Saccharomyces cerevisiae S288C: one gene and its partners. Changing the gene in region 2 together with the main gene of any one other region gives a genetic interaction. Each region holds a gene or a part of one and is shown on either strand. Other genes may lie near its edges.

What was found. A genetic interaction does not mean that the proteins touch.
Region 1: mutations in KAR3 (region 2) and TOF1 together harm fitness more than expected from each alone (negative genetic interaction), as found in Saccharomyces cerevisiae (6 studies listed by BioGRID, with this or other methods).
Region 3: mutations in KAR3 (region 2) and MAD3 are lethal when combined (synthetic lethality), as found in Saccharomyces cerevisiae (6 studies listed by BioGRID, with this or other methods).

What each region holds. Positions count from the first base shown.
Region 1 is NC_001146.8:120,966-127,099, reverse strand, and holds TOF1 (Tof1p), read right to left. Parts: upstream 4,218-6,134; coding exon 501-4,217; downstream 1-500. Other genes in the region: guanine nucleotide exchange factor SEC2, read left to right, coding at 1-295; GOR1 (glyoxylate reductase), read left to right, coding at 4,930-5,982; BOR1 (Bor1p), read right to left, coding at 6,102-6,134. UniProt on the Saccharomyces cerevisiae protein: Forms a fork protection complex (FPC) with CSM3 and which is required for chromosome segregation during meiosis and DNA damage repair. FPC coordinates leading and lagging strand synthesis and moves with the replication fork.
Region 2 is NC_001148.4:815,234-819,892, forward strand, and holds KAR3 (Kar3p), read right to left. Parts: upstream 2,691-4,659; coding exon 501-2,690; downstream 1-500. Other genes in the region: TAZ1 (lysophosphatidylcholine acyltransferase), read left to right, coding at 1-303; rRNA-processing protein RRP15, read left to right, coding at 3,090-3,842; ribosome biosynthesis protein NOC4, read right to left, coding at 4,532-4,659. UniProt on the Saccharomyces cerevisiae protein: Minus end-directed microtubule (MT) motor involved in spindle midzone assembly, poleward transport of newly captured kinetochores along the lateral side of MTs, karyogamy (nuclear fusion) during mating, and with an essential function in meiosis I.
Region 3 is NC_001142.9:408,993-412,926, forward strand, and holds MAD3 (Mad3p), read right to left. Parts: upstream 2,049-3,934; coding exon 501-2,048; downstream 1-500. Other genes in the region: chaperonin-containing T-complex subunit CCT3, read left to right, coding at 1-170; VTC4 (Vtc4p), read right to left, coding at 2,242-3,934.

The DNA of each region.
Region 1 (6,134 bases), on a different chromosome or scaffold from region 2:
GAAGAAGTTACTCCAAGATTTGGATGATTTAGAAGAGCAATTTAGAGAAGAAAGCGCAATTGATCAGACTGAATTTGAAAACGCTGAGTCTAATGTAAAACAAAATATATCCTCGAAGAGGGCATCTTCTGGAGACGAGAACTCTAAGAAGGATAATAATGAAAAAACTTTAAAGACAAACTTGACGATAGGCGACAAAACCCAAGAACAAATAGGGGAAAATAGTCCTAGTAGCGGATTGCATGCGTCTTCAAGCAATGATGACAATTTCGATGATGCCCAGGAACAGCAATAAATTATATAATATTTAATTTTATGTGTCCTAATGGACATTTGAGTTCCTTAAGATGTTCAACAACTTAGAAAAATATAGGTAATGATAAAGAATGAATCGCATGTATTGTTTTAATATTATGTCAATACTTTGAACTTAAAAACAGAGTAAAGAAGTGGTTCTAAAATTACACGTATTAAAGGGATTAATTACTACATATTCATTCTCAATCATCACTATCACCTTGGCTCAAAACAACTCTAGACTTTTTGCCAAAAAGGCGGATGGCCTCTTCATCTTCATCGCTTTCATCGGCTGCACTCGCTTCCAAAGAACGCTTTGTAGATTCTTTTCTGCTATACACCTCAGATTGGAACATATTTTGCGAATTTGATGGCTGTGATGAGCCCAAACTATTTCTTGATTCCGAGTTGACATCGTCATCAGAGAGTTGATTATTATTGTTATTATTTACATCGAAAATAGACATTTCAGATGCCACGTGGCTTGCTAAAGAAATGAGGCTTTTATCTGGCGCAAAGGAACTACTTTCTGTAGCTCTTATGCTTTCAATACTTGGTATGGATCCACCAAACAAGCTCGTATAATCTCCTGTCACAACACCCCCATTATTCATCCTTTCCGCGGCAAATTTGGCAAACTGGATATATCTATCCTCGGTCAACTGACCATTGTTTTTATCTAGTAACCATCTCATATATGTTTCGTTTTCAAAAAATATAGGGTTCATCAAATCCTCGTCATCTTCTGAATCACTAATAAACTCTTTACTGAATACGCCATGGCGTTCTCTAACGGTCTGAGGTCGTTCATCATCCTGGTCGCCAAACATTGGCAAATTAGTCTTGGCTTCTCCTTTCCTACGCTTCCTCTTATCTTTTTTTTTGGATCTCGCAATCCCTTTACTGAATTTGGTACCTTTAAGTTTATCTGATGCATTGTTATCTAAATCCTTGAAGTATGCTGCGTCGCTTTTCGATAAAATTTGATCATCTGGAACAATGTAGGGATCGTTGTAATCATAATCATCGTCTCCTTCCCATCCATCTTGTTCATTGTGAGAAAAACTATCCTTTTCTGAACGAACTCGTAGAAGATAGGAAGAAGAAGGCAGTCCGTTTGGAGTTTCAAATGGTGTTGATAAGTATTTTTTCACTAGTTCACAAGAAACAGTCAGGTCAGAAACTTCAACAGTCCCCGGTAAAAAACAAGGTTCATTGATTTTACGTGGAATGGAGTATCCTATCAGCAACAATAAAGCCCTGTAGTCCTTATCTTTAAAAATAGGGTCGTTGTTGAGTACACCTGTCAATGTGAAATATTCATTGGGTGGATTAACTGTTTCTTTCCCAGCATTAACATTTACGGTTAGCCACGACTTAAAAATATCTAGTGTGTGGGTTATATGCTTGAGCAGTTGGTCCAATAGTTCAGTTTTTCCATCATCAAGTAATGTGGAAACTAAAACACCATATTTCATATCCAACAAAATCGAAGGTGGTAAGGCTTCTTCATCGGGAATTGGTTTGAACTGTGATGCAGGAGCGGCATACATTGATTCATTATTAAGTACATTATATTCACCATATCTTTGGTAAAATCCTACTTCACTATTGTGTAATGGCGGGAAAAGTAATCCAACAAACCAAGCAGGTGATTTCTTTAACCTTTTCTTCAACCTGGCGAGGAAGTAGTCTGAAAATTGACTCACATATTTCCTTGAACGAGACATTCTATCTAATCCGTCAGGTGAAAGCATTTCTCTTAATAATATTATCAAATCAAATCTAAATAACAATGCCTGTTCTTTTGCCTGAACAAATACTCTATGGAAAAAGGAAAATACTTTTTTAATGGAATCGTCCTCAAGCTCACGAAATCTTTCAAGGAAATTAATGTACGTTTCTATTACCGGTTCTGTCATATAGTTGGCTTGCACCTTTTGAAAATTGACTTCTATACTTCTTAAAGAAGAGGTTAGAATATCAAGCGCTTCATCTCTATCTACATTTTCTTCTTCTATCAATTTAGTAATATCACCTTCTGAAATATTAAACTTTTTTTGCCGTCTTGATTTGCCTTCAATAACTAATGTTTTATCGTCAGAGTATTGCTCTAATACTTTCAATACCGAGTGTGTTAGTTCAATGCAACTTTTCATGAATTGGAGGGAGTATTTGGAACCAATCTTCGGCAGATTTGACAGTAATTGTATTCTCTCGTCACTGAAAAGCCTACTTACAATGAATTCTATATCGGTCGAATCCTCTTCTTGAGCGGCCTTTGTACGGGAAACGAGGTTCAACAGTTCATTAAATGCAATCATACCAGCATGTGTCACTGTCCAATTTTTCAGGTCATATGCGCTTCTTAAAAGAGAAGACACTAGAATGAAAGTCACCTCTTTCAAGGCTTCTGAAACTTGCTTTATATCTGCGGAATTGTCGATTTTGGACCTCAACAACTGGTATTTAACAAACCATGCAAAGAAAAGTAAATATTCGACTTGCTCCAAAGTTACCATCCTATCCTGCTCAGTTGTGAAGTAGTTCGTCACACTATGCAACAAGATGTTAAAGCCGGAATCTATAAAGTTGTTGATGAATTCTTTGAAATGTTTACCATTTGATTCGGTGAAAAAAATAGCTTTACCGGTTTGTGAATTCAAGAGACTATTCGGTAAGCCCTCAGCTGCGACAGATTGATGCTTTTTAATTATTCTTTTATTCCATTTTTTGCTGTCATCTAGTTTTTGGAGCGCTATTTTTTCATCTACGAGAGCTTGGCTACCAGAAACAGTTAACCTAGTTTTATCTGGTGTTTGTATAGATAAAAGACCACCAAATCTGGAGTGTCTTGCAGATGTATGCTTGATAACGTTTTTTCTCATTTGGTGTTCCTTTTGTAATAACTTCGATAGTTCAAAACCTGCACTTGTAACAATGTTATTAGCAGAGGAGCTCTCATTTTTATTTACCACCTTTGAATGTGTCCCGGTTTCGAACTGTCGAGGGAATAGCAGTTCTTGGTTAACATCTTTAGTGAAGTAGAACATAATCTCCAACAGTGGGATATTGATAAAGTCCTGGTCAAACTCTTTTGATAAGGAGCTGGTCAGCGTTAAGAGGAAACCGAATACCTTGTTTTTATGGAATGAGGAAATAACCGTATTTAAAGAGATGTCATCCATAGAGACGTTTGGTGGCAAAGTATCGATAGATGTGATACCTTTCTTAGGCATGCTTTTCTTAGTATTGATAGTAAATTCACCGGGTTCTATAGCAATGACATTTCTGAAAAAATTCAAAACCAATTTGAGAACCATATTGTCCCTAGGAGTTCTTGATAATCGGTCGATTTTGATAACATCCAGAGCCAATCTAATGGCAGCTCTTAACACTTTACCACTTTCCATAGACAGAATCGTTTTCTTGTATACCAATTGATGCTTCTTTAGCTCACCATAGAGAGTAATTTGATTTGATGAAGACTGTTCAGTTACAATTAAAGGCCAAGTCATAAGGACCAATAGTTGTAGACAATTTAGCGCAATTTTATCGTAATAAGCTTTGTTTCTAAACTCTTCATGGTCTGGGTTGTTCTTTGCAAGCTTTGCTGCAAGAGAACATTTGTTTTCCCAATCTATCAGAATAGGTAACAGATCATCCGTCAAGATGCGATATTCAGCTACTGCCATTGCCACATCCCATCTTTTCTGCTGGTCATCCACTAGTTTAAACCATCTTTTCAGATCTTTTAAGCACGCCAAACAGTCATCGCCAAGCTTATAAGGGGGTGGGTCTATCTGGGAAGTATAATCCGGCCCACCGATGGCAGTTGCCAATAAAGCAATTCTTGCTCTAAGTACCGTCAGAGAGAAATCAGCCGCATTTGTAGTGCCTTGTTGCAAATCAGCAGACATAGTGTGCGCCCTCCTATATTAAAGATACACTAAACCCCACAAGCTAGATGGTATTATCATATGTGAGGCGACTTACGAACCATATCTCATTTGAAAAATCCTTAATACTCATTTTAATTTTTCATCGTAAACGCGTAATGCGGCAGTAAACGCGTCAAAGTAGCATAATGGAAGGGCCATTTCCACAGGGAAGCAATTCATACAGGGCACTACCCAGTTGTGATAGTAACACAGAACAGCTTCCTAAAGCAAACGGTAGGGATGCCTATATACAGGACAACTACTGGTTATTTCGCTGACTTGATATGAGAAGTGGCAGTGAAAACCAGCGTTATGAACGGTGAAACCGAGCGGGGATGGATGAAAAGTACGTATAACTCTGTATACACCTCACTTGGCTTCATAATGTGGTTCCGCCATCTGATTGCGTTGCTGTGGTCTTCAGAATTCCTGAAGGACGACGCAATTAGCTCTAGAGCTTCTCCAGGCATTTATTACGTAGGACCGAGAGCGGACTTAAAATCTGCAAAAGTCTTGGCAGGGGGCGGGGATAACAAGGCAATCTTATCCCATTTTTCACTAATCTCGAGCATATAAAAAGTAAATTCTATTGGCCTTGTTGTTACGTTAGGGAAATCCTTCTACATGATTATTGCTCTACAATACCGAAGTATTAACAATACATAAACGAGCAAGAAGAGGAGAAGAGAATATGAGTAAGAAACCAATTGTTTTGAAATTAGGAAAGGATGCCTTTGGTGACCAAGCCTGGGGGGAATTGGAAAAGATTGCGGATGTAATTACCATCCCTGAATCCACCACTAGAGAACAGTTTTTGCGGGAGGTAAAAGACCCACAAAATAAGCTCTCCCAAGTACAAGTCATTACTAGAACAGCAAGGAGTGTGAAAAACACCGGTAGATTTGATGAAGAGCTTGCTCTTGCTTTGCCCTCCTCCGTAGTGGCTGTATGTCATACTGGTGCTGGTTATGACCAAATTGATGTTGAGCCATTCAAGAAAAGGCACATCCAGGTTGCCAATGTTCCTGATTTAGTTAGCAATGCTACCGCTGATACGCATGTATTTTTGCTATTGGGTGCCCTAAGAAACTTCGGTATTGGTAACAGAAGGTTGATCGAGGGAAACTGGCCGGAGGCAGGACCCGCATGTGGTTCTCCCTTTGGATACGACCCTGAAGGGAAAACAGTTGGTATACTGGGTCTAGGTAGGATTGGTCGTTGTATTTTAGAGAGATTGAAGCCGTTTGGGTTCGAGAATTTCATATATCATAACAGACACCAGCTTCCTTCCGAAGAAGAGCATGGTTGTGAATATGTAGGATTCGAGGAGTTTTTGAAGCGTTCTGATATAGTATCTGTAAACGTCCCACTGAACCACAATACTCACCATCTAATCAATGCAGAGACTATTGAAAAAATGAAAGATGGTGTAGTTATTGTTAACACAGCGCGTGGTGCCGTGATAGACGAACAAGCCATGACTGATGCTTTGCGTTCTGGAAAGATTAGAAGTGCTGGTTTGGACGTTTTCGAATATGAGCCAAAAATATCCAAAGAGTTATTATCGATGTCCCAAGTCTTAGGACTGCCTCATATGGGCACACATAGTGTAGAAACAAGAAAGAAAATGGAAGAACTGGTCGTTGAAAATGCAAAGAATGTGATATTGACCGGGAAAGTCTTGACTATTGTTCCGGAATTACAAAATGAAGACTGGCCCAATGAATCTAAGCCATTAGTTTGACTACAAGATCCATAGTTTTATTCTTCCTTTCGAAATGCGATAATATTATTATACTTCTTATATATGCAATTAATTTCTATATATTACAAGTGGTTGACTTTTGTACATCCTAACTGCGTTTAGTCTTCATGCTTATCACAGAACTTTGCATC
Region 2 (4,659 bases):
AAATACTATGATCCCAAAAATCCTAACGACCTCTCTGACGAATTGAAATATGGTAAAGAGGCGCAAGATTTAAGAAGCAGATTAGCCGCTGAACTGAGAGCCCATGTTGCTGAAATTAGAAATGAAGTTCGCAAATTACCACGCGAAGACCCTAGGTTCAAATCCCCCTCATGGTGGAAGCGGTTCAACACCACGGAAGGTAAATCGGACCCAGATGTTAAAGTCATTGGCGAAAATTGGGCAATAAGGAGGATGCAAAAGTTTCTGCCTCCAGAGGGTAAACCAAAGGGTAAGGATGATTGAAATTTAAGCAATTAAATTCGTGTAAATACTAGCATGTATGAGGTCATTTTTACATAACAAATATTCATTACTTACTTTGCTTTTTATCTGTGCGCATTAAAATGAGTTTCATATATAATATAGTTACATGTGATGAATGTATGGACAGTCTCTGTCATTTGTCAAAGGAGTGAAAAAGACCAGAAAAGGCCTTGACCTCATTTTCTACTAACCAATCTGGTAGAATTCACTTTAGACGCAAATCTTAACGAATTGAGAGTCTCATTAATATGAGAGGAGCTTGGTGAAATGTTTACAAACATTAATGTTTTCGAATCCCCAGTGAGTGAATATTGCAGTAGGTATGTCAGTTTTGAGTTCCTGAACGGTATATGTCTTTTGGTACTATCAGGCTGACCTAAAGCATGAATAACGTCACCTAAGCAACTTAAAGATTTATTTATATTTTGTGTTTCTCTTAATCTATCCCCTACAACTTGAGAGACATTTATTCTTTCGGAACCGGCCAAATCAACAAGATTTAGTGTGCCATACGAGTGTGCTCCAGTTTTTGCATTTGATCCAGACAAATGAATTATGAAAATACTGTGTGAACGGGAGGAATGCTCATTTGATGCTGTGCTAGCGGTGGATCTTAATTTATTTGCTTTTTTCAGGATTATTTCCACCATTTCTTCCGACTCAAGCTTGCAACTCGTAACATTCGTTATCGTGGTAGTCTTAGTTTCCTGATCATGACGTATTTCGTGCTTTAAGCCAATGCTTGTGTCTTCTTTATTATTATTATCACTTCTCAATAAGTCTACGATGTTCTCGTTGTAGATCTCAATGAATTCGCAGTTAACTTTATAATCCCATCCTTTTGTCTTTAATTTATTGATCCAGTTAAATATATGAGATATTGTGGACGGAATGATACCATCACCTGGATTTAACATCGTGAAAGTTTTCCCAGATCCTGTTTGTCCGTATGCGAAGATACAAACATTATATCCATCTAATGAACTTTGCACTAACTGACCAACTTCTTTAAAAACATCCACATTTGTATCCTGTTGATCAAATATTTTATCAAATTTGAATTCATGCACTTGCGCTGTGTTTTGTATTTTCGTCACTTCCATAGATTGAACACCACTATTGTCATCAAATTCATTAACATTAATAAGGCTAGTATCAGAATTTTCCAAATTTTTTAGAGCTGGACGAATCCTACAATAAACTCGTATATTTCCTCTTAACTCTTGTAACTCATTATGCAATGTGCGTCTAACCGTTTCCTCTTTAATCAGAATTTCATTCAACTCCTTCATACCCAGTTCAGTGTCTTTTATATATTCCTCAAGTTCTTTGATCTTTTCCAAAGTTTCTAAATTAGTTTTCTGTTTTAATGCCACCTCATCTCTCAGCCTTGTAGTTTCCTCTTCCTTTTCTTTAACTTTTACTTTGATAGCTTCATACGCGTTACGCTTTTCTGTTAAGAGCTTCTTTTTTTCTGCCAACTCAGGTTTTAATGTATTTTCGATTTCCTTTTTTATGCTTTCGATTTCTTGCATATGTTTATTATTCAGCTCTATATCCTTTTTCCACTGCGATTGGTACTCTGTAAGCCATTCTTCTTTTTCAAGCATATGCTTTTGTTCAACATCGTTCAACATTTCCTGTAAAGTGGAAGGGTTCATGGTGATTTTATTTCTTACCTCTTCTATTTTATCTAAAAGCGACGCTCTTTCATTTTCAAACTGTTTAATCTTCATAAATTTCAATTTCTCAATTTTTGTTTTGTATTCATTTTCCATTTGTTTCAGCTCTTTTTTATTAGATGCCGCTAGCTGCTTTAAATGTATTTCATGTCCTTCATTCATGAACTGCTTCTTTGACAAAAATTCTTCTTTAATCGAGATAAGTTCATTGTTTTTCAAATTCAGTTGCTGTTCAATTTTTATCTTTTCTTCACGAAGGGTTTCAAATTTGAGATTAACGGCATTGATTTTCTCTTTCGTTTCTGTTAGTTCATCTTTGAGTAAATCTAGTGTTGCCTTTTTCTCAAATAAGATTGCTTGTGTTCTATTGAGTTCATTAACATTTTCTTTATAAAAGGAAGTTACACCGGAGTTGCTTTTCTGGTTTCCATAAATCAAATTTGCTGTACCTTTATAATTCTTTAAAAGCTCGCGATTAGGTGACATGGATATGCGACTCTGACTAGCTAATGAGTGTCTATGAATATCCGTACGTTGCGGCTTCAGAAGAGTGTGCTTAGGCGGTGGAGTTGTTGTATTTCTTCTTTTGTGGCCATTCATAGCTAAAATATCATTCTTCGGCGATGGTGTCGAGAGATGCTGCGTAGATCTGCCTTTTGTGGGAGTACGTGGAAGTGATTCCATAGTTTAATAGTTGCCAGAATTTCTCTAAGTCCTTTATTTCAAAATCTACCTTTTTTAAACAAAGACTCCGGATAGTTGTTCTGGTATATTCAAATAGAATAATAAGAAACACAAAGAGCGGAAAAATTGATAGCTTTAATGCTTATATAATATTCGATAATTTTTTTAGCTGTAATACTCATCATCATATTTTGATTCGAGGCGCATCAAATTGTAAACAGTGTTTGTTTTGATTTTGTTTGAGATTCATTTTGGTGTATCTCCATTACCCTCTTATTGGAAAATTTTGAAAGAAAAAAATCTAGGATTCGATGCCCATAAGATATAAGGAAAGGTAATAAACAGATGCTATGAATAAAGCGATAGAGAAGCCGAAGGAAAATCAGTACATAATTGATCATGGGCTCCAAGCACAGAGTAGACACTAAGGATAAGAAAAGAACCAGAAAGAATGCAGAATTTGGGCGTGAAAAAAGGAATAGTGGCAACCAAGAGTTAAGTAATGAGCCGGAAAAAGATACAATAATGGAAGGTGATGAAGCCGAAGAAGACGAGCAGAATAGCTCTAGCGATGAATCATCTAAAATTATAGATAACGAACAAAGTGATGCTGAAGAAGATGATGATGAAGAAGAAGAGGACGACGACTTCCCAAGAAAGAAAAAATCGAAAAACAGCAAACATGATGATGGTTCTACTGGATTTTCTGCTGCAGTAAATGCTATTTTATCATCACATCTGAAAGCATACGACAGGAAGGACCCCATCATGGCTAGAAACAAAAAGGTGCTGAAGCAAAGTGAGTCAGAAAAGCTAGAATACAAGGCCAAAAAAGCATTGTTGGCAGAAAAAAAAAAGTTATTAGGTAAAGCCAGAAAGACGGATATTATTCCAATTGCTTCCGGAGAAGACAGGTCAGAAAATATTAGAAAAGTCCTTGAGAAGGAGACAGCGCTCAGAAAGATAGCTCAAAAAGGTGCCGTGAAATTATTTAACGCCATTTTAGCAACTCAAGTCAAGACAGAAAAGGAAGTATCCGAAAATTTAAGCGAAATTAAGAATAAAGAAGAAAAGAAAGAATTGATCACTGAAGTTTCCAAAGAAAAATTTTTGGATTTAGTTAAAGCTGCCGCAGGAAGCGACAATGAATAATCAACATGTTCATGTCAAAAGAAGAAAAAAAATAAAGAAATAAAAACTGTATATTATTTAGTCTATGTCAAGCGAGAAAGGGGCCCTATATCTTCCCTCCTCCTTGCAATTGAATTTTGTTTGCATTCTATATTATCATATAGTTTCATATCAATTGCAAAAACTTTTGCAGCCAATGTTACAAAATTGTTTTCAATCAAAGAAATACAGGTGTGGTGTCCTTCACCATCGATATATTAATATTAATATATCATGAATAAATATAAAAATTCAAGGTAATGTACTTGTGCACTTCTTTTAGAATATAGCAATTTCCCTTAGCTCTTTTTCAAATTGTAATTCTCTACAATACATAAAAAGAAATTGATCTTTGGTTCAACTTTATATATCGCAATAAGCAATTCTCAACATTATGAAAGTTTATCTAAATTAAACAATCTTCAACAATAGAATGGTCTCTTGGCCCAGTTGGTTAAGGCACCGTGCTAATAACGCGGGGATCAGCGGTTCGATCCCGCTAGAGACCATTTATTTTTGACCCAGGTTTTTTTCCTAGGCAAAATTGATAACAGGGACTTACTATTTTCTATTTTTTTTTTTTTTTACATCTCAAACAAGGGAAATCGATGACTCTGTTGATATAAATGTATATATACACACTTTTAAAACTTCGTTGTTCATCTTCGCTTTCACCATGCTACCCCAGGCAAGTAGACGTTACCTTGGGATGACGCTTCGCTATCGCCGTCTTCATTATCAAAAACGTTTGTGAAAGCCTCAAATTCTAACGTAGGAAGTGTCTTCAACTTTCTTGAAG
Region 3 (3,934 bases), on a different chromosome or scaffold from region 2:
ATTTTACAACAGGTATTGATGGTGACAAGGGGAAAATTGTAGATATGGTTAGTTACGGTATTTGGGAACCTGAAGTCATCAAGCAGCAAAGTGTCAAAACCGCTATTGAAAGTGCATGTTTACTATTAAGGGTTGATGATATTGTTAGTGGTGTAAGAAAACAAGAATAATAGCCTCGAGGTTAAACTTCATTACTGCCGTTTAATATTTGGTGTTTCTTCACATTTTTTTGTTTTTTTATACTATTGTAATGTATTTATATAGAATTAAAGTCCTCACTATAATTTTGTCATCCCTACAGTATGTCATAAGCGTTAATCGGACAAACGTTCATTTTAAAATTGGCCTTTTTATATTTATATTACTCCTCATAGGATTTAATATAGAAGTATCATTCGTTAAATAATCATTATATCATCTGTGCTTTAAATAAAAAAGTCGGCCGTCGATGTGTTTACGATTGGCCAGTATACTTACTCATTCATGGGATTAGTTTTATTTCAACGCTGTGGTGGGTACGATATGAAAGACGAACTCGACTTGTCATCATCTGAAATGATCTCAGAATTTTTGCTTTGAGAAAAAGAATTTGATTCTCTCATTTCTAAAATTGGGGTTAACTGCCGCGGCTTGACAGCTGAGATGATATCAGACGTCTCAGTGCTTCGTCCCTTTGGCGTCATAGGGCAGTTTATGTACTCTTCGCCAGAAAACATTCTTCCCTGGTTTGAGGGGGTCAACGACTTGGAGACTAAGGCTTTTCTACTTATTTTTGGTCTTTTCGATTGTGCTTCAGCTTCTTTTTGATTTGCGCTTTCTTCTTGCCCTAAATTTGCTTCTCTTGGATGTTTCCTATTTGTCCTAACCCTTTTATAAACGTTTCTAGAAATTGCCAAGACTTCTTCTAGCGAAAATTCTAGTCTACCACCTTTAGATTCCTCATCTTCACAATAAATCAGTTTAAAATTACAGTCAATTTTTTCTGGTTTCTGGTCCTTTGTATTAATCATTTGATAAACAGGGTCACTTCTACCTATAGAATCTCTAAAGATCGGTAGTTTTTCATCATATGGTCTCTTTTTTTGCGATAACATCTCATGTTGTTTAAGCTCACCCAAATTGGTATTTGCTTCTAGCAATGATATTCGAAGGTTGTTTTCTTTGTTCCTTTCTGCCTTTAAGTCAAAATTTTCCCAGCCATCTCTATAAACACCTCTATTCGGAGTTTCGAATAGTTCTACATCAGACTCTTCTCCATCTACAAATACGTTGTTTTTTGTTAAATTGACGTCACTTGATGTGCCATTTTGATTTGCAAGCTCTAGTCTATTGACAAATTCAGATCTGGTTTTCCCAAGTACTGTAGACTCTAATGAGTCCATCGATATTTCATTTCCTAGCTGAATATTGTTCTCCCCCAGTTCTCTCAGGAGATGGTTTAACCGGTCTTCTAAAACCTTATTAGGCCTAGCCTTATTTTTGATTCCTAGCTGTAGAATTTTCACGGCATATTGAAATTTTTCTTTCTGAATTAATAGATTCGTAAATTCTTCATAAAATGACGCTAACTCGGAACCAATTCCATTTCTTAACATATACATGAAAATGTCTCTGCTTTCCATGAATGAATTTCTGGTAAAAAGTTCTATGTACCAAAACCATATTTTAAGAAACCTAACATCATTGCGATATCTCTCCAAATCCTTTAAGTGAGATAAACATCGCTCCAAAAGGGTGAGCATTCCAGATTGTTTGGAATTACCGCCTTGTGGATAGGCGTTGTTCAGCCACTTTATGTATTCAAGATACAAAGTAATTGGGTCGCTTAATGCAGGGAGCTCATCTATCAGTCTTTGTTCGAAGCTTGATTTAACTTGGTTTATTTCCACCAGTGGTTGATGTATCGCTTTCGAGAGTGCCGCTGCTGATCTGCCTTCCTTCAGGGGAAGAATGTTTTCTTTTTGAGTTTCGATTTCTTCAAAGTTAATAACATTTTGTGATGGTGACGATGGCATGTAAGAGATACGTTTCTTTGCGTACGCTTTCATTCTATCAAGTTAACGTCTTTTATTGTATTTTCGCATGATTTTGTTTACTATTTTTGAACCAGTGTGCGCCTGGTGAAGGTGTGCATTTCAGGCAAGAGGGTAGTTCTCATATATAAAAAAATGGCGCTAAAGAAATTATTATATCTAATATGATTATTACTTAATTATACAGTAAAAAAAACACGCTGTGTATTCATTTAGCAACTAGGTTGCAGAAAAAGGAAAATAAAATAGAGAGAATTAGAAACACAGAAACCATGCCGGGCCCGATCTTATCCTCATAATCTACTGCTCTCTTTAGTCTAATGTTTACCACTCTCTTGGCATAAACCATAACAGTACGTATCAACACAGCCAAGGAAGTAATAAAGAACCCAATGGAGCCAATCATGGCTGTTGGTGAACCATATGTTAATAAAGTAGTGGAGACACCGCCCAACAATATCGAGATGGACAACCAAGACAGGTAGGTTCTTTCAGTGGCAAAGTAAACTTTTGGTTCCACACGAACTGGCACACATATCGTCTTTCCCGGTGGGGCACGAATTTGAGTATCAAAAGTAGTACCTTTTGGGATTTTAGATATTTGATCACCGTTAAAATAGTGGTCAAAAAATGCCACGATTTCATAGTATTTCTTGGAGATAGGATTTTCGGCATTCCTGATCTTTCTTTGATAATAAGCAGCATTAGCACTCTCAACAACATGATTAGTGTTGGAGGTGGGGGCCGAAGTAGCCCCGTAACCAACAGATTCTTCTATATCAAGAGAATTACCGGGTGCGTTTGTCATGGCAGCAACCAAAGCAGCGTCATCCTCATCATCCTCATCGAAGTCGTTATCTTCGTTATCGGATCTACCGGGTCTTGTTATTTCAATATTTGTTGGTAGTGGAGGTTTCCTGATATCAACATCCATTTGAGGTAACCAAAATGGGATTGAATCCACTTTATCATTTAGTAAGGTAGCCACACCATGAATAAACTTGGAGAATTTTGGGACTGGCTCAACTAAGTGAGACCCGACTAATTCACGTACCCACTCTGGAGGTTCTTGACCTAGTTGAGTTTGCAATTTAACTTCCAGGACTGCATATGGGAAACGGCAAATATCCTTGTCATCTAGCTGCTTGAATGGCCAATCGACACCAATATCAGTTCTCCTCCAATTCTTATGAGTTCTATCCACACCATCAAAGTTGTCTTCTCTCACCATAGTTAACTCTGTATCAAGGGAGATACGAACTCTTGCATCACCAGGTAATTGAAAAGCAGTTCTATTGTAGAATGATCTCACTACAGGTCTCAACTTTTTCTTTAACATGACGTATTGAATTTCGGATGCTAACGCCTCCAAGTTTTCAATTTCGTTCATTGGCTTCTTGCCTTCTTTACGCATCTTGGCAAATACTTGATCAACAGTATATTTACCCTTTAAGAAGTCATTAACATGACGTTCCTTTAGCGCAAATCTTGCCTTGACAGATTTCTCACCAGTCCAATCCTCTCTATGGGTCTTTCTTTCTACAAAGATCGTGTCTGTAGACATACCCCCATACCATCTCAATCTGTGGGCTTCTGCACCTTCATCTTTTCTTAATCTGCCATAATAAAGGTCTAGATTTTCATTATCAAAATAGATCGAAGTAATAGCGGAATCTTCTCTTTCGAATTCCTTATTAGTGTTGAAGACTAACACTGGTAAATGCTTCAAGATGATCAGCTTCAATTCTGTAATGTTATCAGGGTGAACCCAATACTTTGTTGTCTGTCTAACGAAATTTTGTTGCTTCCCACCAGCAGATGAGTCTCCCTTGATTGGGCGACCTGAAGTTCTGGCAATATCATATAGTTGGGAAATTTTAACGACTAGTTCGTCATAGTTT